Linked DNA regions of Alligator mississippiensis. The protein of the gene in region 3 purifies or fractionates together with the protein of the main gene of each other region. This does not show direct contact. Links are inferred from orthologs where the notes say so. Each region holds a gene or a part of one and is shown on either strand. Other genes may lie near its edges.

Region 1 (6,972 bases), on a different chromosome or scaffold from region 3:
CCATCCAGTGCTGACTGCAGAGGGGAGCAGGGGAGAGGGGTTATGAAGAGAACAGCCCCCTCCTCCCACAGCCTGGCCCAGCCCAACTCATACCTGCACTAGCTGTGCAATTTCCTCAAACACATCCGCCTGGGAGCAGGCTGGGGGGAACACGCGGTCGAAGCTGAAGTCGTACCTCGTGTTGCCTTTACAGCTGCGCCCGGTGTGGGACTGAAGATTGCAGGTAGCAGGGGAGAGCAAGAGGGATCAGCCAGGGGGCCTCATTCTTTGACCCCCCACTCCGTAGCCCAGAGAGTACCCATGGGGCAGGAAGCCTGCGCTGCTGCACCTGGGCATGACACTCTCCCCACCTCAGCCTTTGCTATCACTCTGCAGCTTGTGGCTATCCTCACCTGTTGCAGACAAGCTATTTCTGAGCATGGGCAGCAACCCACAGGGGTCCCCCAGGGAACAGGTCAGCTTTGTAGGGAATGGATTATACCTTTGCCAGCACCCCTGGGGGCTTCAACACTGCATGGAGCAGGGGCATCTCCAAACTGAGGCCAGACAGCCTGTGGCTGGTGCCCAGTGACCTAGGCCCATTGCTGTCCCCCACCCCCCTGCCTGGCTCACCTCCTCCGGCCGGGAGAGTACAAGTGCTCCGTTGTCCTGTGGGGGGAAATGCAAGTGCTCCAGCCCCTTCCCCGCCTCCTGTTCAGAGGGCAGCAGGGGCCGCACACGGCAGAACACACGGATGTTGCCCTGTGGAAGAGATGCATCAGTCTAGCCCAGGATCCCAGTGCCCTCCCACCCATCTGCCCTGGGCCCAGCCCCACCTTGAGCTCCAGCACCAGGTTGTGCAGCCGCCGCCGGTCCATCTCCAGCTGGTGCAACTGGTCTTCTCTCTGCGTTGCAGCCTGCAGCAGGGTTGTCACCTGGGCTTTCAGCTCCCTGTTCTCCTGTGTGCTCTGAGCCAGGTCCCCCTAGCAGAGAGCCCGAGTGTCACTTAACCCTGGCTCAGAACTGTCTGAAATGATGGGCATGGGAGGCCATAGCTTGAGGCATCACCATGACCTGCTGACAGGTGCTAACACATGGGCTCACTGGATACGAGTGGCCATCAGCATGGCCAAAGTGGGCTACTGGGGACAGGTGGGGGCAACCTGGGGCAGTGCTGCCTATGACAGCAGGGCACTTGTGGCTCTGGCAGAGGTGCCATGGTTGCAATAAGGGAAGCCAGGGAAGGCAGCACCATACAGAGTCACTGGCCTGGCCTGGACCAGGGGACTGTGACAAATGCCACGTTGGGAATGTGATGCTGGAGCAGAACCTGGTGCCATTACAGCCGGTGCCCACAGCCTCAGAGATGTTGCCATAGGAAACTGTGCTTGCGTGTCAAGCTGCAGATTGTACTCATCTGTCAGAGCTGCAGCACCGTCTGTCTCCACACACACAGCATGGAATAGCGTGCCAATGGAGACGGGCCGATGAGCACAACTGCCTGCCCCAGGGCAGGCCGCAGGACAGCAGAGCTCCTCATCAGAGGCTCTGGGGCCGGAAGGAGAGCCAAGCTGCTCTATGGACCCCTCAACTTCCAGACCCACCTCTCTGGCTTCCAGCAGGGCTGACAGGTCCCGCTTAGCCATCTCCAGGTCCTTGTTGGTCCCCTCGAGCTCCTTGTTGGTCCTAGTGGTGTCAGTGAGCTGCTGCTCCAGTTGGTGCTTCAGATCCGACAGTTCCTTCACTTCCTCGAGGCGCTGCTGGGCCTGCTCCTGGGACACGTGCAGCTCGGACTTCACAGCCCTAGAAGTGCAAGGGGCCAGGGTCACTCCCCGTCCGCATCAGGCTGCTCCTGCCCCCACCCCACCCCACCCCACCCTCCTCTTACTGGAGCTGGCGGTCCAGGTCCCCGTTACGGGCCAGCAGCTCCTGCCTCTGCTCCTCCAGCTCCTGGCCCCCCTTGCGCAGCTGCTGCACCTCTTCTTTGTAGATTTTGAGCTCTGCCTGCAAGTCGCTCACTTGGCCCTTCAGGTCCCAGGGTGCCCGCTTCTTCTTGCCACCCCCCAGCTCCAAGGCACGGCCTGAGGCAGAGAGAGAGATTGGGGGGGAGGGGCGCAGACTGTGGTGGGGAAGCCCAACCGGCCAGGCCAGCACAGGGGGAACTTGGTGGCACCTTATAAGTACATTGGGGCTTGGAGGAACATCTATTCACCAAGCCCTGCAGGGGAGGACAAATAATGGGCACAAACTGATCAAAGATCGTTTCAAATTAGACATAAGAAAAAGCTTCTTTACAAGCCAAGCGCCGAGGGGCTGGAACAGGCTCCCCCAGGGTGGTCTAGGCACCCGCAACGGCCATCTTCATAAAGTGCCTCGACACCCAGCTCGCCGGGGCCTCCTGCCCACGTCCGAGCTCCCTAAGCCCCCCGCCCCGCCCCGCCCCGCCCGCCGGGAAGCTGCGGGAGACGGGTTACCTGTCTTGGGAGCGGCTGTGGCTGCGGCCACGGCTAGCCTGGAGGCGGCCCCTGGGGAAGGAAAGCAAGGCAGGCTGGAGGCCCGGAGCGGGAAAGGCCCGAGCCGGGTGCTGAGGGAAGGGCTCTGCCCCCAGCCCCTCCCCCGCCCGTACCTGGGGCAGACGCGGCGTGTGCGGCGGGGCCCGGCGGCGGGGCGAGCGGGCGGCCGGCGAGGCCGGGCGGGGCCGCCGATCCGGGGCGCTGCGGGCGGGCGCTGGCGAGGCGGCGGGGCGGGCGGGCGCGGGCGGGGGGCTGCAGGCGGGCGCGTTTCTGCGGAGAGATGGAGACGTGAGCGGGGCGGCGGCCGCGGGGCCCGGGCGCCCCGGTTCCCGTTCCCGTCCCTACCTGCTCGGGGCCGGGCGCGGCCTCGGCGGCGGGCGCGCGCTTGGGCACGGGCAGGCGGGAGGCGGGCGGCGGGTCCATGGCGCTGGCGCAGGCGATGGCGGAGCCGGAGTCTGGGCGCGCGCGCCTTCCGCATTTGAAATAGGCCCCGCCTCCGCCACCGCGCGCAGCCAATCCCGCGCGCTCGCCCGCCCCGCCCCCTCCGCCGCGCCGCGGCCAATCGCAGCCCGCGGCCAATCCGCTCCCACCGCGCCCCGCCCCCCAGCCCCGCCCGGCCTGTGGCGGCCTGCGCGCTGGAGGAGGGGAGGGGGGTACGTGCCCTGCGCGCGCCCAGCGCCGCTCGCAGTTGCGCAGGGCGGGAGGGGGTGGAGCCGGGAAAGAGGAGAGGGAGGGGCGGGGCAGGTGCAGGAAGCGGGGGGCGGTGGGGGGGGGGCTGAGTGGGAGCAGTTATGGGGTGGGGGCGGGGCAGGTGGGCGGAAGTGGGAGGGGCTGGGGCAGTTCGGGGGGGGGGATCGAGGGCGAGAGACGGGATGGAGCGTTTAGGGTGGGAGGAGGCGGGGCAGTTTGCGGGGCTGGTGGGAGGGGTTGGGGCAGTTTGGGGGGTAGATGGGGAGATGGGGCAGTTTGGGGGGAAGTGGGCGGGGACGGGGTAGGTGGGAGGGGATGGGGGGGGCCTGGCAGGAGAAGTGGGTGGTGCACCAGGGGCACTGGGTGAAGGAGGGGTGACCGGGGCGGCCGGGGATGCTGCTGGGGTAGGGGCTGTGAGCAGGGGGGAGCTGGGGTGGGCGCGTGGGGCAGGGGCCTGGGGTGGGAGGAGACTGCTTGGCTCCTGCACTGGCTCCCCTGTCGGAGCATGGGGCTGCAGCCCCGGACCCGGTCCCATCCCCTTCCCCATCCCCAGGCAGTAGGAGTGGGGAAGGGGCTGCCCCCAGTGCCAGGAGGGGGCACTTGCAGACGATGCCTGGCCTGGCCTGGGGAGGGGTCCAGGGTGCCAAGGGCCTGGTCCCAGGCAGTGCCAGGAGGGGGGCGTTAGGGGGGGTCCCCTCCCCGGGCGTCTCTCCGCATCCCCCCTTGTTCCTCCCTGCTCCGGCGGCTGCGGCGGCTGCTGCTGCTGCGTCACTGGGCTCAGGCTGCTGCGATGGAGCCTCAGCGGGTCCTGCTCTTTAGCCCCTGAGGGCCCCGCGGCCTCTTGGCCCGCAGATACCCCTCCCCGGCCGGGGACTGGGGAGTGCCAGCCCCCACCCCTGCAGGAGACACCAAGACCTGGTAAGGGCGGGAGCGGCCAGGGGCAGGAAGCTCCCCTCCCCCATCCTGGAAGGAGAGGCAAGGGGCTCCCCTGCGACACCGTGCCCCCCTTCTCCGGTTGTGACCCACCCCCAGTCAGTCAGAGACCTCAGGGAGTTCCTGCACCTGAGATGCTCTCAGCCCAGACCCCTGCCTCCCAACCCTGATGGGGGTCCCTGGTCTGAAACACTCTCCCACCTCCCATGCAGGGCACCCCACGGACCCCACCTTGGAGGCCCCACCTCCAAATTTCCAACCCTGCCCCAGAGACCACCCCATGTCCCAGGGTCCTGCCCCCACAGATCCCCAGAGAGGGGCTCACATAAGGAAGACCTTCCCCCAAATAGCAGATCCAGCCTCCTAGATGTGAGACTCCCTAAACCCCACACCTGCCAGAGGGGACCTGAGCTTAAGACCCTCTCCCTCTCCCAAACCCCACGCTTGCCAGAGAGGGCATAGGCTGAGACCTCCCCGAAACCCCACACCTGCCAGAGGCCCCAGGCTGACACCTCTTGGGAGCCCCACAAATCCTCCAGGTTCTGCGAAGCTCCTGCACTTGAGAGACGTGTCCCACAGTAAGAGCTCTCCAGCACCAGGCCTGGAGGCTCAGACCTCTTGCTGCACTCCTGGCCTGTCCTCCCTCACCTAGCTGGCGGCCTTTGAGTGGGGTGGAGTGAACCACACCATGGGAAGGAGAGAGGGAGGCAACTGGATTTGGGGGAGGGGGACTCAGACTCCTAGGTTCGGCAGCTGGGACTGACCCTCGCTGCATGCAGCAGGTTGGTCACAATGTGATGGCGAGCGAGCTGCCCACCCAGTCTTCCCGGGTGACGCGCACGACCTCACGCCTGGCCTCCGGCCCCTGGAAGCGCCCAGCAGGTGCCCCGACAGCCCCGGTCCCCGCTCCCAGCCGGCCCCGCTTCTGGGAGGGGCAGGATGTGCTGGCTCGCTGGACCGATGGCTTGCTCTACCTGGGCACCATCAAGAAGGTGAGTGCAGGGCCTGGGCCCCCACCTCCGCCAGACCCCACAGCCACCCCCCCTCACACCGCTCTCCCTATACAGGTGGACAGCTCGCGGCAGGTTTGTCTGGTGCAGTTTGAGGACAACTCCCAGTTTCTTGTTCTCTGGAAGGACATCAACCCGGGTAAGCAGCTGGCTCCCAAGACCCCAGCCGGGGGCCTGGCTTAGCAGCATCCCATGTGGTGCCTGGGCTTCATCACAGGTTTCTACTCCCTCCCCCCACCCCAACCCTTGCCCACTGGGTCCCCCAGGCAGTCATGGGGCTGGTTCTGTCATCTCTTGCAGCGGCAGTGCCTGGTGAGGAGCAGACCTGCTGTGTGTGCTACACGGAGGCTGTGAGCGCAGAGAACCAGCTGGTGCGGTGTGAGAAATGTGGGCATGGTAAGTGTGGCTCCTGGCCCCTGCCCCATGGCTCCCTTACCCTGCCACCCATCTCATCTATGCTTTGCCCCCACAGCTTACCACCAGGAGTGCCACCTGCCCACAGTGCTGGAGGTTGGTGGCAATGGGGCAGGAGTGCCTGGCACCTGGACGTGCAGGCAGTGCGTCTTCGCTGTGGCCACCAAGGTGAGCTGGACCCCCACCCCTTTCCTGACCCCTGTGCCCCTTGCACCCACTCCTGGCCTGATACTCTCCCTCTCTCCTGAGCAGAGGGGCGGTGCCCTCAAGAAAGGCCCCTATGCCAAGGCCATGCTGAGCATGAAGATGGTGCTGCCATATGAGCTGAAGGCTCTGGAGTGGGACCCAGTGCATCTGACTAATCGGCAGCAGTGCTACTGTTACTGCGGTGGACCGGGAGAGTGCGTGTCCTTCCCCTTCCTCCCTGGGGTCTCCCAGATCTAGAAGGGCCTGGAGCTGGCTCTGGGGTGGTGGGGGGTTTCCCAGAGGCTTTAGGTCAGGGTCCATCCTGGTGTAGGCACCAGTCTAGACTAGCTCAGTTGGAGTCCAGGGCAGGGCTCAAAACTCTGGAGCAGGCATTAGAGCGGGGAGTTCTTACCTTGAGTGGCAGCCTGGGTGCAGGCCCCTCAAGGGGCACCCCTGGAGCTGGAGCCAACACGTTCTGGACGGGGGACACTAGGTGTTGGGGCTGAAGATTTTAGGCTGGGACCATCCCAGGGGATGAGCTGGGGAGGTTCCAGATTGGGCTCAGCCTGTGGCATGGGGCTCAGAAGCAGGCAATGAAGCTGGAGAATTTGGAATCAAGGCTACTTTGGGGTTGGAGCAGGATTCGCATTGTGGGGAGCCCTGGGGCCTTCCCTTGCATGGGTGCTGGGGACTAGCGAGGTGGGGGGGGAAAGCTAGTGGTCCTGGCAGCAATTGTGCACACCTGTCAGATGAGGCAGGGCTGGGCTGTGCACTCAGCCTGCTGCCCTCCTGCTTCCTCCCACAGGTGGAACCTGAAGATGCTGCAGTGCTGCCGCTGCGCCCAGTGGTTCCATGAGGCCTGCACCCAGTGCCTGAGCAAGCCGCTGCTCTATGGTGACAGGTAAGGCGGGGGCGCTGAGCTTCCCCAGTGCGGGGGTACTCACTCTGTCCTGTCCCATAGAAGGGGGGTGCATGCAGCCCAGGAAGCCACCTCATTGCTCGATGGTGGAGGTAGGGTGTAGTGTTTAAGATCCCTCAGGTTGGGGGTGCCAGGTGTTGGGCTAACGCTGCTCTTTCATCATGGGGTGGGGGTGTCCATGATTGGAGGTGCTGGGCTGACACTCATTCTGGTCCCTGGTGCGGGTCTCTTGCAGGTTCTATGTCTTTGAGTGCTGTGTCTGCACAGGTGGCCCAGAGAGCGTGCGCAGACTGCCCCTGAGATGGTGAGTGACCCCAGTCCCTCTGTC
Region 2 (7,297 bases), on a different chromosome or scaffold from region 3:
GGGAGGACCTGAGCAGGGTCAGTTTGCCTCAAGTGGCACAATTTGCCCCACACCAAAGTGCATGTTCAGGCACATGTGCTGAGGCACAATTCTTCGGCAGAAATTTGTGCCACTGCTACTTAAACTGCTGCAAGCACACGTACCTATATGTGTTAATGTACTCTCTGGGTTTATTTTGTGAATCATGTTTGTACATGTAATGGTGCTAACATTGTGCAGCACCCTGCAGAACCCCTGAAAGGATCTCAAGGCACCCCAGAGTGCCATGGCACCCTGGTTGAGAATCACTGTTCCAGCTAAATGCGATTTATTTCCAAATATAATACTGAGCACTTACATAGCACCTTCTACCTGAACAAGTCAATATCTCTCAAGAGGTATGTCTCACAACTGCCCTCTAAGATGGCTATTACTACACTCCTCTTATTTTGTAAATGACAAATTGAGATATACAGAGAGTAAGGGACTTGGTCAAACGTACAAAGAGGTGAGTGCCACACACAGAATTAGAATATAGGCCTAGTACCCACTGCACTTACTAACTAGGTGAACCATGTGCAGTGAACAATTAATTTAGCTCTTCATGTGGTATTCATGAGCAGGATATAATTTTTTACCAATTTGTTTACTATTCATGAATGTTTAAATAGCTTTTACAAGCTAAAACTAATGTGATTGTTCTTTCACATGATTTCATATTCAAATTCTGTCACTTGTCACATGGTATTATGTTCCCTATTTAGAGGAATTAAACTTTATAAATGACTTCTGTTTGAAACTAGTTTAATGATTAAACAAATCTTAGCTATAGGCTCAACATTTTCTTTTTGAATATTCATGTTAGCAGAACTTTGCTCATATGAAAATTCACTTAAAGCAAATATGTATGCAAATGTAATTGAGGTAAATATTTTTTACTAATCACCCATCTCTATTTCCCTCCACTAGCCACTTTTGCTTCAACTTAAATGTATTATAAAATCAGTCAGTTTTGAAGATGAATAGTTAGTATGTTTTGGTGATAAGCAGAGACAATATAAAACAATTATTTTGAGAGATGTCAATTCCTGCAAGTAATGTAATGGAAGATTCTCTCATACTTATTATGATACAAATTTGAGTCAGGGCTCAAATCCGGAGGGGATGCAGTGGTGAGATGTACCTCCCCCTCTTTCGTTGTGCCACATGATCTCTTGCCGTGGGGTCCGGCTGGAGCCCATGAGGTGAGTACAGCCCCTTGTCCCCTCCTTTATCCAGCTGCTGAATTCAGCAGAGGAAGAGGGATGGAAGGGTGAACAGTAGCAGCCTTCACTTCAGCCAGTCTGCCCTGATTGGCTAGTGAGCTCATGGCTCACTGCTCATGCAGAGCTCCAAGACTGCACATTCTTACTTTTATGTTAAGTGAAAAATCCCTTGACCACAATGGATAAGCATAAGGTTCCACATATGCATAAATCTCTGCAGGGCTGGACCCAGTGACACACTATCAACATATGACACACAGATTCAACTAACTTTGTTATTGGAAAAACAGGACTATGAACCTGTTTTCCTCCTCTTGAGACAGACTTTGAATAAGCAAGAATCTTTCTACAGGCAGGATTTCTGAACGAATAATGTGGAGTCACTGGCATATGACAGGTTCCAACTGTGTGAGACAGCATGACTGCTGCCACTGCCTTTTTGTCCTCTGAATACACCTCTTCGCCTAATGACAGGAAATGTCTATGATGTAGGCAGTAATGACATTCAAACATGCTATAATCTTATTTACAATATTTATATTATTAAGCCTCACATGACTAAGTTTCCTAACAAAACTCCATGTGATTCTACAAAGTAAATTATTGTGAAGACTTTTTGGTCCTTAACACTAATTTCAGAGCACTTTGCTTCCTTTGTTTTTAGAATTATATGGGACAATTGTGTAACTATTTACAGTATGTACTAAAGAGACTATTGAGAGACACTGCTATGATAATATACATAACCAACAAATTCTGAGGTTATAAATTATGGGCAAAATCAGGCCTCTGGTGTGATAGTACTCAGACTTTGTCACAAAAAGGCGTGTCCATATAAGAAAATATTATTGTGTTTGAAGGTAGCTGTAAAGGATCAAGTTAGCTTGATACAACACGGTCTATGGTTGATGGTGTTTGCAGAATTGGGTCCCAAGTAATTAAATGAACAAAAAGGCAAATAGCCTGAGTTAAACTTAAGGGTAGTAAACTCAGTAAAAAGGCTAAATAGTGGGCAAATAGGGATGAATTAAAGAATTAAACCATAGCAATACACACAAATACATATGCACACAAAGAAAATAAACATGGAAACCTTGTGGTACATTCTTTTTCTTCTTCCATTTTTTGTCAGCATATCATTCATGTAATGCCTGATCTTTCAGCTGCTTAAATAGGACCCCTTGTGAATGAAGTTGCATACATGAATGAATGCTTACAGAAACAAGTTCTTAGATTAGAAGGCCTCTGGGGCAAGGATACATCTTTCTACATTTGTGTTGGGCCTACCACACTATTGTATGGTACATAAAGAATTCATTATACCTTCAAGGAGAGCTGTGAATGTTAATTAGTTCATGTCTGCACAGCAGTTTGAAACAAGAAAAGGGCTGGATAAATGCTATTTAACTATTAATAATATTATGTGATTGAACTATGTTTAGAAATCACGTGCTGTTCGGCCTGGGCTAGTACTTTGAAAAATGGTTTTCAAATAGCTATGCCTTACTCATGATGACAAGATAAATACTGTTTAAATCATATCAGCATGAACTACGTGTAGGGTAATAGACTATAAAGCCTGAAGGGATTGTTGTGATCCTCTGGTTTGACCTCTTGCACAACAATAGCCATATGACCTAGCTGTTTAGTTTTAGTTTGAACTAATTCTCCGTCAACAGAAAGTTTTTAGATGCAGGATAGACAAATATTTTCAGAAGAGGTTTAGATGGGGATCATCCTGCCTTCAGTACTGGTTGGACTGGATGACCTCCTGAAGTCCCTTCAGCCCTATTTTTCTCTATTTCGTGATCACGTATTTTATAAAAAATATTAAAACTCTTTTTTTAACAATGTATAGTGGAGAATCCACTACAAACCTTAGTAATTATAATTTCAACTCTTATTCCAAGTCTGAATTTGTTTAGCTTCAGTTTGTAGCCATTATCCACTAGCCCAGCGACTCCTCTTTTTTCAAATTTCTATTCTCTATGCAGGTACCTCAAAACTAGCAATTCTCAACTTGGGTGCCATGAGAACCTTTTAAGGATGCCCCACAATATTAGCACTGTTTGGTGTACAAACACCTACACAATTCATAAAATAAACCCAGAAATTTCAAATAGGATGCTCACCTTGCTGGGGTCCCAGCAGTCTTTCCTGCCCAAGCGCAGTGGGGCTGGGTCCGATGATCTTGTGACGTCCCTTCCAGCCCCTAACATCTACGAATCTATGAAACCTGGTATCAAACATCTCTTTACATTTTAAATGAAAAAACTTGCCAAGGCCTGATTAAAAAAAAATAAAAAATAAAAAGATTGATGAAACTGAATGTGCTGGTAGAAAATGTGTTGTACAGAAATGTTCAGCCAACTGTACCTAAAAAATGCCACCAAAAAAACTTTGCCATGCCTCTTCATTGCTTGCCCTATTTGAAAACTTCAGTGTCAATAGGGTACAATTAAACTCCTGGCAAATTTCCCCTCCCTCTAGTCTCTTCTCAACTTTTGTGTGGTCATGTCTCCCGGGAGGAGTGAAGGTGGAAGGAAGCAGCTTTTCCTCACGGCTGTAGAGAAAAGCCTGAGAAGCCGTGGTCACCTCTGCAGGCTGTTTTGGGGATGTGTGCGTGCGGACTGGTCCGTAGTTAGGGGTATCTGCCTGCCTGTCACTATGGAGTGGGTTCTATCCATACATCCATGTATCTGTTTGTGTCTGTGTCTGTCTACCACTATGTACGTGTATCTGTCTGTGGTTACAGACTGGACTGTATCTATCAGTCTGTTACCGCGTATGTGTGCGGATCTCTGGATTTATTGCTGGATCTGCGCCCAGTATCTGGGCGGATAGGCGCAGCCCCCAGGGGCAGGCAGACGCGCGCGGCCCCGCGATGCGCCGGGACTGGCTGCCCACGGTTCTAAAGCCCAGTCCTGGGTTGGGAGGCAGGTTTGCCGGCGCCGCGCGGGGCGGCGCGGGGCGGGGGCCGAGGCCGCCGGGGGGCGGTTCGCGGCGCGGGGCCGGGGCCGCGCGTGACTGTGAGGCCGGCGGCGCGGGCTCCTCCCCCCGTGGCAGCGGCGCCGCTCCCCTCCCGCAGGCCCCGCCGGGCGGAGCGCGAGGGAAGCCAGCCGCTCGCCGCCGCCTCGCGGCCTCCCTGCGGCCCTAGGAGCGCCCGAGGCGCGGGTGAGTGCCGGGGGACGGGCCTCGTCTCCGCCGCCAGTCGGGTCCCCCGCGCGGCCTGCGGCCTCCCGCCAACTCGAGCGCCGCTGCCGGGCCCGGCCGGTGGGCGCCGCCAGGCCGAGGCCTTCCGCACGCGGGCGGGCGGGGAGGGGGCGTAGCGGGGCCGGACCGGGCCGGGCCTGGTGCGGGGCGAGGGCGGCTGCCTGGGGCTGCCCGGAGCGCGGGCGTGGGGGGAAGGCAGCAGGTGTTCAGCCGGGCCCAGCGCCGCCGCCGGGGCGGGGAATCCCCGCGGGCTGGAGCCGGGCCCGGCCGCCCCGGCGCGGAGGAGGCCCCGCGTCACGGCTGCGGGCTCCAAGAGGGCTGCCCCCTGCGCCCTCCTGGGCTGAAGCTGCCACCAGCCCCGCACCGGGTCCCGGCGGGCGGCGGACTTTGCCCGGCCGGGCCTGGCTTTGTGGCTCGGCCCCGCCGTGCGCGCCGCCCGCGAGCGGACCCCGCGTCTCGGCCTTTCATCCCGGGGAGGGGGCGGTACTGGCCTTCAGGCCGCGCTCGTCTTGTTTTTTCCTACCTGATTTGATTACGAGGTTTGGAGCTGGCGCCCCTTCGCTGGGGGCCTGTTTCAAGCCTTTGTTGCAGTTGCGGTGTCTGGGGGAGGCTGGCTCTGAAGGACGCAGCTTACAAAGTTGATGCAACTTGATTTAGTGGTTCTCGAGCTCTTGTTTTTTAGGCGCAGGGCATCCCAGCTGTTTTCCCTGGACTCTTGATTGCAGAAGAGCAGAGCATTTCTGTGGCAAAGAAGTCGGGAAGACCATAGCTAGGGGTTTCTGTGTGAGCTCTCCGGGTTTGTCTTGTAAAGCACATTTGTAATCCTAACCGTGCTGATGTTGGATGGCACCTTGCAGCACCCTTGAAAGGGTCTCAAGGCACAGGAGGGTGCCGCAGATCCCTAGCTGAGAATCACTGGATTAATTGGACATTGGATAATAGATAGGCACACAGGACATGGCTCTAATAAGGTACTAAGAAAGGGACTTTTGATCTTGGCCAGTTATGCAGCGTGTTTATTGGATCGGTAAATAGCACCATTTGCCATGTATGCCTGCTCCTGCCTCTAAACAGTTTTCCTTATGAACATACAATTTTCTGTATATTTGAAACACCACCTCAGCATGTCATTTAAAAGGCAAATGTTTTGAGATCTTCATTCTACTCTTCTGGTCCTTTTGTTTAGAAATCATATTCCCCTTTTTTTACTTGTTATTTTAGAAAATTAAACTATTTGGAAATGCTGAGTAAACATTCCCTTTCCAGCATCTGCCTCACTAAATTTATCTTTCATGCCTTTTCTGAATGGGTACTAATCGAGAGAGAGAGAGATCCATTTTCTTTTATAGAAAGATCTTTCTGAGAGTGCAGAAATGCTCAACTCTTGGGAAATTACACTTTGGCTTGAGAAGGTAAAATAATTGTTATTCTTCAGATAATACTTATCTGAGAAACTAGCTTACAAAGATATAACAGGTTAGGAAGTGCCGTTCCACTCCTGCCTCCAAGTTCTAGTTTTTACTAAAAATAGTAATAGATTAAAGCTTTCATCATTGTCTCTGGGGAAGAAGATTCCACTAAAGTAGAGCATACTAACTAACTCTTGTCATTTAAAAAAAAAAACTGGTCATGGTTAATGTCTTGTAAAATCTTGAGTGACACAAATGCAAGAGATGAGTATATACTTATGAGTTGCTTCTTTTTTTTAGGTGAAGACTGCAAAAGCCCTGGGTCTGACTGAAGGGAAAATTTCACTGTACTAGATTTACTCTGGCTTGAACACTTAAAGGCTATTTTTGGATACTTTTTAATTAAAGCAAAAATCAACTTTTATAAACCATGGCAGATGTGGATCCAGACACGTTGCTTGAATGGCTGCAAATGGGGCAAGGGGATGAAAGGGATATGCAATTAATAGCGCTGGAACAGCTATGCATGCTGCTTCTGATGTCAGACAACGTGGATCGTTGTTTTGAAACGTAAGTATGGTTCCTTTTGTTTGTGTTGGGAAGAGTAGGGACTTTTTTATCCATTGCGTAGATTGTGTCAATTTTATTTAACCACTTCTCCTTATTAAGTTTATACAAAATTGGACGTGGTAAACTAGAACCTTTTGCACTCTTGAAAATATGCAGAACAAAACCTTTACATCTTTGTTCAGACCATACCACCATAATATCATGACTTCCTTTGCAAAATAAACATGTCATGCTAAGAAGTGTGACACATTGAGTAGCTGATCCTGGCACGTCTTGGCTGATTCATTTCTAAAAGGCCTCTTGCAAGTTAAAAAAAAAAAAATAAAAAGTTCCTGTTTTCTTTTGTTAAAGGGAATTAAATTATTTAATTAAATTATTTTGACTTTTTTAACCCTAAAATTCAGGGTTTTTTTATTTATATTAAAATGCCTGCATCACTGAAGTTTTTTTCCCTTGCTCTAAGACGTAGTAGCACTTGCTTTGAACTTTGCAAGCCAAAAAAATTAACATAACTGGCTTTGTCGCTTAGGACTGTTACCTAAGTATCTGTGGCTTATAACAACTTATTGTAATAACATTACTCTCTGTAAACGCCAAGTAATGGTTTTGGAAGGTAGGCATTTTGATCTTAAAAAAGAAAAAAATAAGTAAAAATTGAGCCTTTAAAACTTAACTTAGTGGGCGTGTCCAGATGAGTGTGGCTGTGAGGAAGTGGGGTGGGCAGGTGTGGCCAGGCCTGGGACCGTGGGGCTGTGGCCTGGGGCAGAGCCATGATCCGCTCCCGCATGCCCCTTTGATAGACACTGGTTACACAGGTAAGAGCGTGTGTGGAGCAGATTGTGGCTCTGCCCCCAGCCCCAT
Region 3 (7,805 bases):
CTAGTGTGACGTGGTTTGCTAGTGTGCTCCTTTGATGACCTAGCATTCACAAAGTAATATGTTATCTCCTCCCAAAAGGCCCCCCTCTCTCACAGATTTCAGTTTCAGGATTAAGCAGAATTTCCTCAGAAGACTTTAAAGATCAGACAGCACTAAGATAGAAGAGTCCTGTCAAATAGCAACACCCTATAGATTACCAAGTCTTGCTTGAAGTCATAGTAGATACAACTGCTAGCCAAAGCAAGACAAGCAGCTGTAGCTGACCCGCTCCAGGTTTGTGTTCCAGGCTTCTTTTGCTAGACACCCAGGTTCAGATTTTTGGAAGAGTTCTCCATATTAGGCAGGGAAGACATGAACAATTTTGAAACTCTGGCCCCCAGTGACTTTCCCTCATAAATTAATTGGCCTGAAAATGATGTAAGTGCAGCACACTGACATACCTGCTATGTTTCCTAAAGCCCACACAGCCTGTTCACTGATGTGAGTATGAGGAGAAGCCAACAGGGAGATAAAAGCTGGTATGGCTCCACCATCTACCACAGCCTTTGTTTGCTCCGACGTGCCAGAAGCAATGTTAGTAAGTGCCCAAGCAGATTCAAACTGAATAGGGCTACAGTCTGCTCTCCCTAAAAAGGAGACAAACTTGGGGATCAAGCCAGCCCGAATTATGTTGTCTATGGGGGGCTGTTTCTCTCTGGACAGCAGTTTCCTAAGACAGAAACAAACACAGGGAGTTAATTTTTTTGGTCTACTACAACCTGAACAGTAGATTCCAATTTAGTCAGCAGAAGACCCAAGTTTTACTTTAAAAAGATATTCTTCCAACAGTGGCAAACATCCAAAGAAGTTCAATAAAGACTAGCTGAACACTACATTAAGTGGTTTAAAGACTGCTTTTGACAGATCCAGCTTTGTATTGAAACTGTTTGTTAAAAAAAAAACCAAAATCTGAAATTAAGCCAAGCTACTTGGTTGTGGAAAAGTAATAATGCACTTGGAACTGCTTGAAGTAAATGGCAATAACTGCCAGAAGCTGCACTACCATCTCAGGTAATCATCCTCCTACCTCATTGTGCAGGACTTTTCAAACTTCAACTATTATGCTGTATTTGGAACCAACACTCTAGGGTGAAAGCCTCCCTCTTTCACCTCCACTTTCATACATTAAGCTGAGGGAATGCTCCTCAGTACTAGCATCTCATATTCCAGCCTTACAAATAAATCGCAATACCCGCCACCTCTATAGAGCCGAGGATAAAAAAATCTGACACTTCCAACATCCACATCACCCTTAACACCATGAGACAGAAGGAAAAGTACAGCTCAAGTGCCAGGTGAAGTCTCATGCTCAGAGGACACCTCTAAACAGTCAGAGAGCACCAGCGCTTGTGTAATTCCATTTACGCTCAGTCCCTTGAATACTGACCATAGCCCAGAGAACTCATTTACTTACCTGAGGCCAGATAACACAGCATTATTTATTTACTATTAGCAACATTTGCCCAATATTAGCCTGCCAAAATCTCAGCTTTATGTTTGGTGCTTGTGCTCTGCGGAGTTAAACCCTGTTCCTTATCCCCAGTCACCAAATGACACTTACACCAAGTCGCTTACCTTGCGGCCTGAGTAGCCTGCAACTGCAGTTCTATGTTGTTACTGCTAATTCCTTTGACTATTTCTTCAACAGACCAGTGTGCACAGACCTGTCCATGGGACAGAAACAGGTTTAAGAACTACGTTAGGAGAAGCAGAAACTTCATAAGAAGTTTCTCTCTGCTTTGGCAAGGATCTATGGCGTTGTGCTTTTGACATCACCAAGCGTAAGGCACCAGGTGTAAGTACGGTGCTGTACAGGTACTCAAGGCTCTTTGGGCGAATCCGATATCCTTTATTTGACCAACTTAAATAGTTGGAAAACATCTTTTTTAGGAAGCTTTCGGGTTTAAAAACCCTTCGGCAGGCTGAGGATGGCCCTGCAGTTGGTGCGTGCTCTTCCCGAGTACAGGTACGCCTCACTTAACCTCGCCCCGGTTGACGCAGTCTCGTTACTACGCTGACGATCTATTAGAAAACACGCTCGTTCAAAGTCGCTCGGTTATACCATCGTTTGGCTGCCAGCGTAATCGGATCGACCGTCGCGTTTATCAAGAACGCGACCGCGTTCAGCAAGGAGTCGCTGTACACGCGGGACTTTCAGCGCCAAGGGGGAAACCAGCCCTAGTCTGCAATAAGCCGTAACCTCTTGCAATCAGAGGAACACTTTTGGACCCTCATCTTGCTGGGACCCCGTGACCCTGGCTGACTTCCTGCCCCTGGGGCGGGGGCCGGACTCGCCCGTCTCCCCAGGTCCCTTCCAGCCCCGACGCCTACGACGCCACTGCCGGTACCTGATTGCCCCTGTTTTCCTGCAGAGGAGAAGTGGCGTCGTCCGGTAAAGTGCTGACGTTTCTCCTTTTAAGCATCTGGTCGTCTTTCTTGGCTTTCCTCAGCTCCACGTTGACTTCGATACGCCGCCGCCGCATTTCCTGAGAGGAAAAGGAAATTGTCACGTTTTTTGGTTTTTTTTTAATTTTTAAAGTGCAAAGCGGCGCTTTAAAAAAAACAAAACATTAAAAAACAACAACGACGACAAAAAAAAGACCCCGAAACCCAGCGACGCCTCCAGGCCGGGCCGGCGCTCACCGTCGTGTCCTTGCCCTTGTTCTTGAAGCGGTTCAGCCGGGCCGCGGCCGCGGCGGCGTTCTCGTTGGCGGACATCTGGGCCGGTCGGGGCGTCGCAGGCAGCACGGATGCAAGAGGCAGACCTGGAAGGAAGCCGGGGGTGAGAACAAGGGAGAGCCGCAGGATCCCCCCGCTCCCCCCGGCCCCGGCCCCGGCCCCGGCCCCGGCCCCGGCCCCGGCCCCGGCCCCGGCCCCGGCCCGCACCGCACCTCAGCACACCTCCGCTCCGCGCGCTGGCCGCCGCCGCACTGACCCGCCGAGCACGTTGCCGCCGACCCCGCCCCTCCGCCGCGGCCCCGCCCCCGGCGGGATTTAAATTTCCCGCTGCCCCGCTCCGCTATTGGTCCGTTCGAGCCACAGCAGCCTCCTCATTGGCCGGTTTGAAAAAACCAGCTCGCCTCGCGAGGCAAGCGGAGCTCTCGCGAGACCCTCTCCCTCGGTCGCGTCACAACCCCCGAGGACTGCATCTCCCGGCGTGCAGTGCGGGACAGAGGGTCAAGGAGACTACGACTCCCGGCAGGCCTCGCCCGTGCTTCACTCTGCCCGCGGGGGAGGGGGAGGGGGAGGGGGAGCAAGGCATGCTGGGAGGTGTAGTCTTCCCCCATGGGTCCACCCCCAACTGTACACAGCTCGGGTTTAGAGCGAGCAGAAAGCAGGGAAGAAGCTCATGCAGCCAAAGTGTGCAAGGACAATTTTCTTGCCATTTTCCACTTGGTCTAATGAAAGGGATCATTTTGGATCTAAGAGTTCTAGTTTTTTGTATGTCAAAGACTTGAGCGGCCTTTTAGGGCGCTGAGCTACGGGAACAGCGCTGCCCGTGACGAGCAGGGATTATTCAGGCCCATGAAGGCTGCCGCGTCCTGCACCAGCTTCCACTCCTGGCTGGGTGGTGTGGCCCCCCTCCAGATCTGACTGAGGCCATTTCGAGTAGATGAAGTGAGGATGAGACCCGAACGGTGGCTCCCGACCGCTGCACGACAACAAAAATACTCGCTGCCGGGCCCAGAGATGGAGCAACAACACTTGTTAATCCGCAGGATCCCAAACCACTAATAACATCAGGGCTGCCTGATCGCACCTGCAGAATACACCAACCCCAGCAGTCCTTATATGCGAAACCTTTCTGGGCCCTGCGGGACGAGGACCAAGAAAGCCAGCGGCACTGAGATGTTACGCGGCACCCTGCTTTCCAAAAGCTCAATCGAAACCGGATTGTTACTGAGCAACAACGACGCTGTCAGCCACCTGGCAGAGCTCCTGGAAGAGGAGTCTCACACGCTGCAAGACAATCAGCACCTGCCTTCTCCACTGCAAAGCCTCAGTGCTTCCCATGCATCTCCAGCAAAACCAAAGATGTGATTTCCCTGCTCTACTTGGCACTGGTGAGACCGCAGCTGGATACCACGTCCGGTCTGGGCACTGCACTTCAACAAGGACGTGGCAAAGCTTGAGAGAGTCCAGAGAAGAGCCACTCGTGTGATCGGAGACTGGCACAGCAAGCCATACGAGGAAAGGCTGGACATCTTCAAGAGGAGACTGGACAGTCGCCTTGCTGGGGTCACTTGACCATGGGTGACTGGTGCCTCCTGAGTCTGGGGGGCACCAGATTGCCAATGGGGGACGGAGGTCTCCCAGCGGCCAATTGCCGAGCCAGCGGTGAAACAGGAATGCACTTCGGGTTCTGCAGCTGGCACTTCCAGGGGGTGCACGTGCACCCACGTGCACCCCTTCCATGTTGCCAGTGACCCCACTTGTCTTTCCTGCCTAGTGCAGGGGGCTGGACCCGATGATCTTCCAAGGTCCCTTCCAGCCCCTACAACCCGTGTCTCTATGAATTAACAAAAAAAGATCAGAATCCAGAGCACACTTTTCCCAACACAGCTGGCTGGAGTCAAGCAAGCAGGAGCCTGTGCAATACAACCCAGCTGTCCAGATCTCACCCAGAACGACAGGCATCGATTAAATTAGAGCGTTTTGACCGTGCAGATCCAAAACCCAGGGTCGCTTACAGGTGGATGACCAGAAGCCCCTGGGAAATGACACTGCAAGCAAAGACAATAGGAAAGGGTCAGAAGGCTTGATTTATTCACTCTGAGACGGGGCTTATTTTGTACGTAGTTTATTCTGAGCCTTAAAATAAAGTTTGTTCTGATTCTTAAAGTTCTTAAAAGTCTTAAAATAAAAAGGGGTGATGTGAGGCTGGGTAGCCGAGAGGGAAGCAGACAAAGCCACCTGTCTGCAGGGGACGACAAGGAGCAACGGCCCTAGACTGCCAGAGCTGGTTTCGGGCTGGACATAAGGAAGAATTGCTATTTGCAGTCTGGAGTCGCGTCCCAGGGAGGCGGTGCCGTCCCCAAGTCCTCCAGAGGGGCTCGCGCAGTTGGGATCACTTGATCTCAGGCCAGAGCAGGCGGTTTGTTTCTTCAACTCCTCATTCCTGTGCAGGCAGCAGCACCGAAGAGCCGGTGGCAGACAAGGGGCAGAGTGCAGGTGGTTGAGGCTGAAGCTGGTCCCACCTGCTTGTCCACAGCCCATTTCCTGGAAGGACATCACCCAGCTTGCATTTCGCCCCAAACGGACGCACTGCAGCCTCCAGGGGAAACTCAGACCCCGGCCCCATGCGCAGCGCCGTGCACGGCCCCGCGCCCGCGCCCGCGCGGCCGGCAGCGCAGAGCAGGGAGGCTAGGCCCCGCCCACTCCGGGGCGCGGCCTCGTGGCGAGAGCGGCCGGGGCGGGGGCGGGGCGAGCGCGCGGGCGGGGCCCTTAGAACGCGCCGCGCGCCGCTCTCGCCGGGTGACCCAGTGGCCTAATGGATAAGGCATCAGCCTCCGGAGCTGGGGATTGTGGGTTCGAGTCCCATCTGGGTCGTACCGCAAACACGTTTTTGCGGCGGCCCGGCGGCCTCCTCCTTGCCGGCAGACGCTTTTAACCGCGCCTGGGCCGCCCTTGGCCCCGGGGGAAGGGCCTGGGAGCTGCCGAGGGCTGAACAATGGGCAGCGATGTGCAAACTACGGCGGTGCAGGGGGGGCTTGTTGCTCTGGTGGGAGCAGGGAACAACCCCGCTTATCAGGGCTTTAGTCCCTTTAAACGTCTCCCCCCGGTCCTCTCCCAGGGCTTTTGCTACTGCTAGTCAGGCTTTACTAGATGGGAAAGACATTGTCATCATCCAGCCGGGCTGGGAGCAGGTGCCACATCTGTCCCCGGGCACGCTGCACAAGTGTTCGCTCGCCAGCGGGACCGGGAGGCACTGGTACGCGCACGCGAGGCGCGTCGAGCCAGGGTCAGGGAGCAGCCGGACACACCGCTGCGTTTCTGCCATTGAGTCACCGAAGATAACGATTCATGGTTTTTTTTAAAGGAATTATGCCAGGACAAGACACGGGCACGTGAACGATTGTACTTTGTGCCGGTATAAAAATGGTTATCCCAGGACAAACGCAGCGTCTTTTTGTAGGCCTGTTGCTCAGCACAAAGGTACCACCATTCCTCCGCCATTACGACGGATACCCCAAAGGGAGTGAAATTGCGGGGAAACATCCCAACGCGGCTACATAGGAGCATGGGCTGGGGTGTTACACAGCCGGGGGTTATGACTGTATACAGTTTTCTTTAAGGACCCCACATACAATCCGCTGAGACTCGGATATAAATCACGTACAAAAAAGAAACTTTGTTATAATTCACAGCACCGCACCCTACCCTCCCTCCAGCCGTCTATGCAACCTAGCCTGCGCTTTCTTCTCTCGCGCTTTCTTCTCTCGCGCTTTTGGACTCTAAGCCAGATCATTTCTTTACTAGTAGAGAAGTTTAAACAACTTAAATATGGTGATAATAAAAAAACACACCCAAAAAACCATGCTCAGCTGCTTTAAAAAAACAAGACACTTTGCATCCAGGGAGATTCTGTTGAAATCCTTAATTTCACAGATACAATCATTCAAACACGAGCGATATCCGTGATATACAACTCATTTAAAAGGAAGAACATTTCCATGTTGGCCATAGCAATGAGCCACAAAGAGATGTCTGAAAACTTTGTTTTATTTCAAGATTTCCCACTGAGGGCAAAACCCAGCCCTAAGACCGCAGCACCCTCCCACATGTGCTTGGGCTTGAGCAGTGCCTCGCTACAGAGCCATGTGGCAGGAGCACCGGAGCGACCACATGCATTGATTAATTGGAACAGCGATCATCCTCACTAAGCCACTTAGCCTGAAACAAAGGGCCAGCCCCAGTGCTGCGCCTGGCTTTTTGATGGAGGGCTCCACATGGTTTGTCTTCCTCTGGCTGGAAAGATGTGTTTTGGCACCCAGCCCACGGGATCTTCCCTATCACACCTGGCATTTTACAATGCTTTGCATTCAGTGCGCCGTGCAGGCATCAATTAATTAACTGATTCATCCTCCTGCCATCCGCCATCAAATAGTGGGAGGAAGCAACCTCACCAAGCAGATTTTTTGAAAACAACGGCATGAAAACAGAAGAGCCAACCCAAAACAAGAATAAACCTATGGGATTAAATTAATCTCAGCGAGTGGAGTTATACCCACTGAGCCAAAGCCATTGGGGTTTGCATGTGTATTCATATTCCTGAGCCCGGGTTGAAAAATTGAAAAAAGAAATTGAAACTACCCGAGGGAGCAGCAGACTCTTCTCTTGAGAAGAAACGATGGCTATATTTCTCAGGATGAAAAACAACATTGCAAAAAGTCTCCTTGAAAAGAAGGTTTGAAGGCATCACAAGAACGCTAGCCAGCCTTGAAAACTGTGCACCCACGATAGCCACCGTGTACCCATGCCCTGTTCTGGTGCCCCGGCCCACCCTGCCTTCTGCACGCTGCATTTCTGTGCCGGTCCTTGTACCGCTCCCAAGAATGGCTTTATTTGTTCTGCCCTGTTTTCTCCTGCAGGAAAACAAGTCCCCAAGGCTAATGGCTAGAAACCTGTATCCAGAGCGGGAGTTTGGGGATGCTGCGCTTGTCTGGCAGGCATGGATGCGCCCCGTGGATGTTCAGGTGAGCTTGGCCCTCGTGGGGGGCTCGGCACATGCTCCTCCTAGGCGGTGGCAGAGGGAGGCTAGCTGG
Region 4 (7,428 bases), on a different chromosome or scaffold from region 3:
TTACTTCCTAGGTTGATAACAGGTCATACTGATTAATATACTACCTCCTTAATACTAATGAATCAGAAGGAGTCGAGTAAAATGCTGGGGGGGAGGGGGAGGAGTGGGGGGAAAAGAAGGGGAAAATGGGAATATGGAACTCCGAGGAGACGGCTTTGGGATAACTTTTCATAAAGTACAAATTAAGGTCCTATTTGTATTGACTCTTGTACTTGGCCTGGCGGAGCAAAATGTAAAAACAATAAACATGCAGGCAGTAGGTGGTTAGGGACAGTCCAAAGAATGAGCAGACTGAGGGTTAGGGAACAGCTCAAATCCCATGAAGCAGTAAAGTTGAGTTTAGATTATAATACTAGTTTGTTTGTAATCGCTAATATTTTAATACACTGCTAGAAGACAAACTCTGATTTCCACATGGGCCCCCCCCCCCAAAAAAAAAGAAGGTAAGTAACCATTCCTAACATCCCTTTTAAGTGCCAGGAAACAAGCTCAAATCTGTTTGCCATTACTAGACGTAACTGGTGCTACCAAAAAGCACTGCCCTACTAATGGGATAGCTTTGGGGCAGAGATTTGTGTTTTCCTCACCATATGGAAACTGAGACCAAGATACCTTAGGTTTAGAACACCAGCCAAAACGGGGCAAATGGTGCACTTCTATTAAATCACTAGATGGGTCCTAAAGTGTGCCACAACCAATTTCTAGCTAGATGACAGGTCACTTATGTGGCTGAGGATAAGTGAAAACCAAAGTAACCAGTTATCTGCTGCTCTGCACCACAAACAGACCACTCTACAAACTGGCTATTCCTGAAAACCTCAGACAATCCAAAGGAACTGTTCAGAAAATACTCAAGTCCATATAAGTGTGCATGACATCACTTAACATACTTTTTCTTTTTTTTTTTTTTTTTTTAAGTGACAAAAGTTCTAGGTAGAGACAAATTTCAATCATCCTTATTTGGGATTCTCCTCTTTCTTCCTCTTAACTTGAAGAGCTTTTGAATAAGAGTTTAATGCTCTTTCAAGATAACTAATTACAACAGCTAGTGATCAAACCCTTTTTGTTTCATCTTTTGCTGTTACTCCACCTGTACACGGTTGGTTTGTTGGTTTTTGTTTTTTGTTTTTTTTTTTCCTCCTTATTACGAAGGCATGTTGTGGTGGTCTTCCCCTGCACTGTGCACCCCCTCCCAACAGCTTCATGTAAAAATACTTGTTTTACTCCTACAAGTCAGAGTAGCAGGATAATCTCCAGTTTTAATATTTGCTTGTTTTCACTAAACAATGGATCAAGCAAAGACAAACACCTATGGACATCATTAAAAAAAACTACTATGGAGGGGGGAATATATAATGAAAGATGCTGCAGGGCTGAAGAGTATATTTGAATTAGCATTATTAAAAAGGGAACTGAGAACATTAGTCAGCTTGCCTACCTGCCAATAAGCAATACAGTTTGTCTTATGTCATTTTTGGAGAATATGGGGGTTGGAGGTCCCTCCCAGCCCCACGTCTCTATGAGCAGAACAAGACCTCTTTCATAGCGACGCTTCTTCTCCCCTTAGGCTGAGCGTAGGTTTCAAGATGGAAAGTAGTCATCACTTTGCATGTGCATTTTTAAGATTAAAAAATAAATTACAACACTACTTTCTGAACCCCCTTAACAACTTAAAAAAAAAAAAAGTCTAATAACGCGATGCGAAGCCTCACAACACTGATGTAGGGTAGAGGGGGAAATAACTACGAAGTCAAATGTAGTCGTTTTTCGGCCCCTATCCTGAGGCCGGCGGGAAAAGGATTAAGTTTCAACCACAATACCACACTATATATTTTGAGGCGGGTGAAATAAGTGAAGAATGACTTATGTAATCTGCATGAATTTGGCCCGGACTGGGAAGCTGCCTTGCAAGGAGCGTTTACGGCATCTCGAGTATCTACAGGTAGGCGAGACGCGGCGGTCGGGCGTGCTCTCGGCCTTTCTAACCATCCAACTCGGAAGCACAATCGTAACTTCGGGGGGGGGGGGGGGGGGTGGATGATCTTTGGGGAAAAGTTGCCGGTTTTACAGACGTAAACACAGCAGCATGCAGCAGACCACAAGAATAAAACATGGGGCGCCGTAAGCCCCCCCGCCGGCCGACCGACCGACCGTCACGGACTCGACGTGCACTCGGGGTCAGCCATCATCTCTCCACGCCCATGTCCGTCCGTCCGTCCGTCCGCCCGTGTGTAAAAGGTCCCGAGCTGTCCCGTCAGCGCACCGGGAGAGTTAACGAGCAACCCCTCGCTCCACGCTGGCGCGGGGCCCTCGGGCAACACTAACTCGTGCGGCAGCACCCTGCGAGGGGCGGCGATCCTCCCCTTTCGCTGACGGGGAGCCGGCGGAAGAGGTTAAGTGACTTGCCCGAGGCAGCGGCAGCTAGCGAACGGACGTGAATGCTTCGCCGTAACGGCGGCGGCAACAACAACAGAAAAAGGAGGGACGGACGGACGGACGGACGAGTCCCGCACAGTGATCCTCACTGTTATTTTTTACACACGCATACACAAGCGGGGAGGCGCGGTCGTTACAAATCGAGGCGGCGGTCCCCCACTGCGAGGGGGCACAGGAGTGTTTCCCAAACCTGCCTCCATCGAGGGGCCACATGTTGCGAGGCGGGCGGGGGGGGCAGCTTCCCCCCAAACAAGCCGTTGGTGTGGGGGGCGGGGAGGCGCGCGCAGCACTGGGGGGGGGGGGGGGGGGATGCCCGCAGGCTTCGGCCTGCCGGGGTGACAGGCGGGCGGCGGGCGGGAGTGAGGCGCGTCCCCTCACGCCGGGGAGGCCCCGAGCGCGGCCACCTGGAGCCGGTGCCGGGAGGAGGGAGGGAAGCGGCGACACTCACCTGCGGGCGCGGGGCGGCGGCGCGGGGGGGGGCGGGCGGCGCCGGGGGCCGGGGGGGGGCGGGCGGGCGCCGCTGTGTTGACGCCGCCGCCGCCGCCGCCGGGGCTCGGCGCTCCGCAGCCGCTCAGCAGCCAGGCGCCATTTCCCGCCTACCGACCTGCTGCACCGCACCGGGGACCCGGATGGGGGCGGGGCCCGCGCACGCGCACACCGCCGCCGGGGGGGGCGGGGCGGCGCTCAGTGGGGCCGCGGGCGGCCGGCGGGGTGAGGCGGCTCCTCACGGGCTGTGGCGGGCAGTGACGGGTTACCTCGTGGGGGGGGGGCACCTCGGGGTGTAGGCGGACTCGTGGGGTGTCGGGGGTGCACCTCGTAGGGTGTGGGGGGAGCTGAGGAGACTCTTCATGGGGTGTGGGGGGCCTCATAGGTGTGGGGGGCGGCGAGGGAGCACCTCATGAGGCGTGCGGGGCTGAGGGGGCTCGTCATGGAGTTGGGGTAGTGCCTCACGGGGTACCTCAGTGGTGTGGGGGGGCTGGAGGGTGCCTGGCGGGGTGTGGGGGCTGGGTGTGAAGGGGGAGCTGTGCTGTGGGCGGGAAGGCGAGTACCCCACATGGGGGGGGGGGCCGTGTGCTGCTGTGTGGGGGGTGAGGTGAGAAGTGGGGGTCCGGTGCTGTAGGGATGGGGGGGTTGTAAATACCAGCTAGCTCTTGCCCCCCAACTCCCCCTCCCTTTGCCCACAGTTTCGGGGGGTACAGCCCTGGTCCAGGCGCTCCTATCGCCTGCTGCTGGCGAGTGGGAACCCCACAGCCGTCCCCCCCCCCCAAGAGTGGCCCCAAGTGCAAGCAGAAGGGCCGGATGTTGGAGGAAAACTGGTGAGGAGGCAGAGGCAGAGGCAGGCAGTGAGGTGGAGAAGGCAGCGCTGAGCAGATGGACCGGGCGGTGAAGGTGAGCAGCGCAGGTGCAGGACTGAAGCTGTGCCTCCCCTCGGGGCAGGGTGGCGGGTTGTGTTTGGGAGAGAAAACCCTCCTGAAGACACAGAAGTTCATACTTTTCATGTCGGCAGGCTGGACTATCCCGTAGGCTTCGGCTGTGTGTCTGTGCCCAAAAAGGTGCCGTGGATTTTTACAGCCGTTCGGTATCTCGCTGTAAAATCCCGCCGCGGTGGGGTTCTGTCGTTACCTTGATGCAGCTCGCTGATGTCAGTCCTGGCAGGGGGGGACTGCATTAATCTTGCCTTCCCACCTCAGGGCAAACACTACTGGTGTCTTGTTTCCTCAAGAGTCTTGTAGTGTGACAACTAACAGGAATCGACTGTCTTAATGAACCCTACTCTCCCCTCCCTCAGCTTTGGGTAGTGAAGACGTGGGCTTTAACTCAAGCGGCCAACTACACTGAACACTGGGAACAAAGCAATTTGCAGTAGAACGTTATTTAATAGGAATGAAGAACCCGCCCTTTTTCTTGAATACAAATTGTAAGAAGTGCGGGGGATTTCGTTGGAAGAGACTTACTGGATAAAGTGAGAAATCTTGGCGTATTGAGAAGACTATGGGGAGGACTAATGTTTTGCTGTTGATACACTTCCCCTGCAAAATCTTGGGAAAGATTTTGTAGGGGAAAGACAGTGCCTTACCATTTTTAGGTGCTTCTGGGTGGAGAAATTGTGTGGGTTGGGAATTGTAGCGTAGAAATTCTCGTGGCAGGGAGGTGGTAGGACAGGGGTCTCTGCATGTCTGGGGTTTAGGTTACTGAGTGCATTTGACCAGAAAACCTATTTTCTCCATTGACATTAGGGAGAAAAAAAAATATATGCTATCGGCTCTGGCACACAATGGGAGGAAAAGGAAGGATGACTGTTCAGTACTGGGGTTCCCATCCTTCATTCCTTCCTTCTCTTGTCCTTGTAGCGACAAGGTATTCACAGGACTCAAGCAGCAAACCTGGGACGAGGTCTTCAGGCAGAATTCACAGATTCGTTGGAATCTGACAGGGCCGCACCACGAGCACTTCTCCAGTGGGGTTCCTGTCAGAGCACACCTTGGCTGTTGGGGCCTACCCCTACACATGGGGTTGTCAGGGCTTGAGATCAGCACTGACTGCATTTCTGGGTCTAGGTCAGGTGCAGAAAAAACTCGACGGAGTATTGATGTGCTGTAATGGCCTTTGGAAGCCTTGCAGGTGGGGTGGATAAGAGCTGCATCCTGTCATACAATCTCAAACTGTACCAGTGTACAATATGCCATTCATTTTGACAAATTTCCTTGTTTCCTGGGGTTCCTAAGACTTATTAACAAATTGCTAGCCAGCAAGCAAGACAGTGACATGTCAAAGAGCATAGTAGGATATCTCCTTCTGTTTCTGCCCTCTGATTTGAGCTCTGTATCTTTGGGCAGCTTATATTACATGTAGGTACCGTATCGTTCCAAGTTGTAAAATAGTTGTTGTGATATTTTTCTACTTTGGGTTGTTGTGGTGTTTGAATTGTTGTTTTAAGAATAGATCCTCTCATAAAAGGTTCCATAAAAATGGAAAATGTTGTTAATCGCAACTTTCTGGAGTGCCTCTTCTTACGAAGAGCTGCAGACGCTACAAACAGTATTTGCATTGGTTAAGGAGTGCCTCATCAACATCTTGCAGACAAAAAGAAGTGTACAGTAAACACTAGTTTGTGAGGAATTTACAATTACAAACTGTGTGTCTGTCTGATGTTTCTTTCCATTAGTGGTTATTGTTTTATTGGCAAGCTTCTATTAAGAGAAATCTTCATCTCAAATTCTCAGACTAATGCATTTCATGGAAGCAAAAAATATTTTCAGTCTCTTGCAGAAATTAGAATGTTTCTGCCAAAGGACCTTTGACTGCAAAGGAACAGGAAAAAATGTTGTTTCTTTTTTTTCTACATTTTATTCCACTTGGATTTACTCTTTTTTTTTAATCTAAATTTGGACACTATTATAAAGGCAAAGGGAGAGTCATTTAAAAATATTTATTGGCTTATTAAATTGAACTGCTTTGCTGCTGTAGAGCCAAGCTTTATAGAATCTGCACTGTAGAAGTGTAATATTTCCTTAACAGAAGATATAAAATCAGTTTTGCTCTAATTTTCAAGGATAATAGATGGTTAATTATAAAAATAATGGAAGTAATTTAATCCCCTGCATATTCAAAACTTATAGTCTTATCCTTGTAAAACATGAGACTATCACCAGCCACATGAAACACATTAATTGGCTACTTCTTGTGTGATTAGCAGTGAAAAATATAGCATAGGCACTTTGAAGCTTACTTAAGATAACTGGTAGTCTGTTAATACAAATTAACTGGGCTGGATGACATGGTTTTATCCAGTGTTGTAAGATGAAGGTAATATTCAATTACTTTTAAAAATCAGGACATTAAACATGAAGAAAGGAAATACTTGGTCATACAACACATGAGTAATGGTGCTGCTCATTGCCACAGGTGGCAATAAATATTTTAAAAGGCACAGATATTTATATAGATCTGAAAAATATCCAGGGTTTTCATAATTAATGACCATTTGGAAGGGATATTAAATCTTGTGTTTCAGGGCATAAAGCAATCTTGATTAGATATCAGGATCAAGGGACATATTACTCAATGTGTGCTTACTACAGCTTTTGTGAGCTATCCTATAAAGCTTCTGGTTCTGACCAAGAACAAGAAGTACCCCTGTGTGATCTCTGTTAGAAATGCCAATGCTTTGCCTGCACTTGTAATGCAGTGTTACTTCTGAACAAAAGTCTAATGTGGATGTAGTCAGAGGAACTAGATTATTTTTTAAACAAAGGCTAAGGTTGAATCTATATTTAAGAGTTTAGCTCACGTAGCTGTGTTTGGTTAGGATGTGAAAAAAATCATGTCATAGTTAACAATGCAGGGAAAACTGTGTTGTAAACATGGTTACACCAGTCCTGCAAACATGAGTTATAGCAGCAAAAGAACTTGCACCAATATGGGTTTGCTAACAGCTGTACAAGTGAACTGTTTCTACTGTAGACAAGACATTCTGTGCAAACCAGAAAAGTCCATGCTGAAACAGCAGGGAGACCCATGGGTTCCAAGGATAATAATTTTTTTCCTCTTGTCTGTGGATTTCTATTGACCCTGCCCTGGATCTATTCTATATAGTATTCTACGTGCACATCTATCTCAGTTCGTAGAAAAACAGGAGGCAAAAATGTAGTTAACAGAATTTATTGTTTGAAATACCATACTCATGTGATTTTGAGTGAACCCTTTTAAGTGGCCATTTTCAATACCGTAATTTAATAAAATATTTATAGGGGATAGAATAGACTGGATTCCTCACATTTTAATATCCTTCTATCTACATGCTGCTTAAAATGGCTTGCCCTGTAATTGTGGGTATGGGGGGGCAGACAGTTTATTAATGACAAATGTAACTACTATAGGACTGCGCCAGCTGAGCAGCAGAACTGTCATCAGTCCCGGCTCCACTCACCCATAGCTCCATCATCCGCTTTGTCACTTCCTCTTCCTTTGTACCCAGTCCCCTGGGGTTTC

The links.
Region 1: the proteins of KPNA2 (region 3) and KIFC1 purify together in Homo sapiens (co-immunoprecipitation; 4 studies listed by BioGRID and IntAct, with this or other methods). This does not show direct contact. The link is inferred for Alligator mississippiensis from reciprocal best matches to the Homo sapiens genes KPNA2 and KIFC1.
Region 2: the proteins of KPNA2 (region 3) and HECTD1 purify together in Homo sapiens (affinity purification with mass spectrometry; 3 studies listed by BioGRID, with this or other methods). This does not show direct contact. The link is inferred for Alligator mississippiensis from reciprocal best matches to the Homo sapiens genes KPNA2 and HECTD1.
Region 4: the proteins of KPNA2 (region 3) and CTDSPL2 purify together in Homo sapiens (affinity purification with mass spectrometry; 4 studies listed by BioGRID and IntAct, with this or other methods). This does not show direct contact. The link is inferred for Alligator mississippiensis from reciprocal best matches to the Homo sapiens genes KPNA2 and CTDSPL2.

What each region holds. Positions count from the first base shown.
Region 1 is NC_081834.1:64,871,725-64,878,696, forward strand, and holds the start of KIFC1 (kinesin-like protein KIFC1), read right to left. Parts: upstream 3,012-6,972; 5' UTR 2,916-3,011; coding exon 2,838-2,915; intron 2,763-2,837; coding exon 2,606-2,762; intron 2,505-2,605; coding exon 2,454-2,504; intron 2,061-2,453; coding exon 1,868-2,060; intron 1,783-1,867; coding exon 1,584-1,782; intron 963-1,583; coding exon 816-962; intron 742-815; coding exon 613-741; intron 211-612; coding exon 94-210; intron 15-93; coding exon 1-14. Other genes in the region: PHF1 (PHD finger protein 1), read left to right, coding at 4,913-5,107, 5,183-5,264, 5,426-5,521, 5,598-5,707, 5,792-5,940, 6,531-6,626, 6,880-6,948. UniProt on the Homo sapiens protein: Minus end-directed microtubule-dependent motor required for bipolar spindle formation. May contribute to movement of early endocytic vesicles. Regulates cilium formation and structure.
Region 2 is NC_081825.1:253,450,409-253,457,705, reverse strand, and holds the start of HECTD1 (E3 ubiquitin-protein ligase HECTD1), read left to right. Parts: upstream 1-4,287; 5' UTR 4,288-4,418; intron 4,419-4,980; exon of another isoform or gene 4,981-5,171; intron 5,172-6,166; 5' UTR 6,167-6,296; coding exon 6,297-6,436; intron 6,437-7,297. UniProt on the Homo sapiens protein: E3 ubiquitin-protein ligase which accepts ubiquitin from an E2 ubiquitin-conjugating enzyme in the form of a thioester and then directly transfers the ubiquitin to targeted substrates.
Region 3 is NC_081831.1:6,286,908-6,294,712, reverse strand, and holds the start of KPNA2 (importin subunit alpha-1), read right to left. Parts: upstream 3,015-7,805; 5' UTR 2,931-3,014; intron 2,805-2,930; 5' UTR 2,758-2,804; coding exon 2,683-2,757; intron 2,526-2,682; coding exon 2,388-2,525; intron 1,704-2,387; coding exon 1,615-1,703; intron 710-1,614; coding exon 441-709; intron 1-440.
Region 4 is NC_081834.1:1,637,356-1,644,783, reverse strand, and holds the start of CTDSPL2 (CTD small phosphatase-like protein 2), read right to left. Parts: upstream 3,013-7,428; 5' UTR 2,885-3,012; intron 1-2,884. UniProt on the Homo sapiens protein: Probable phosphatase.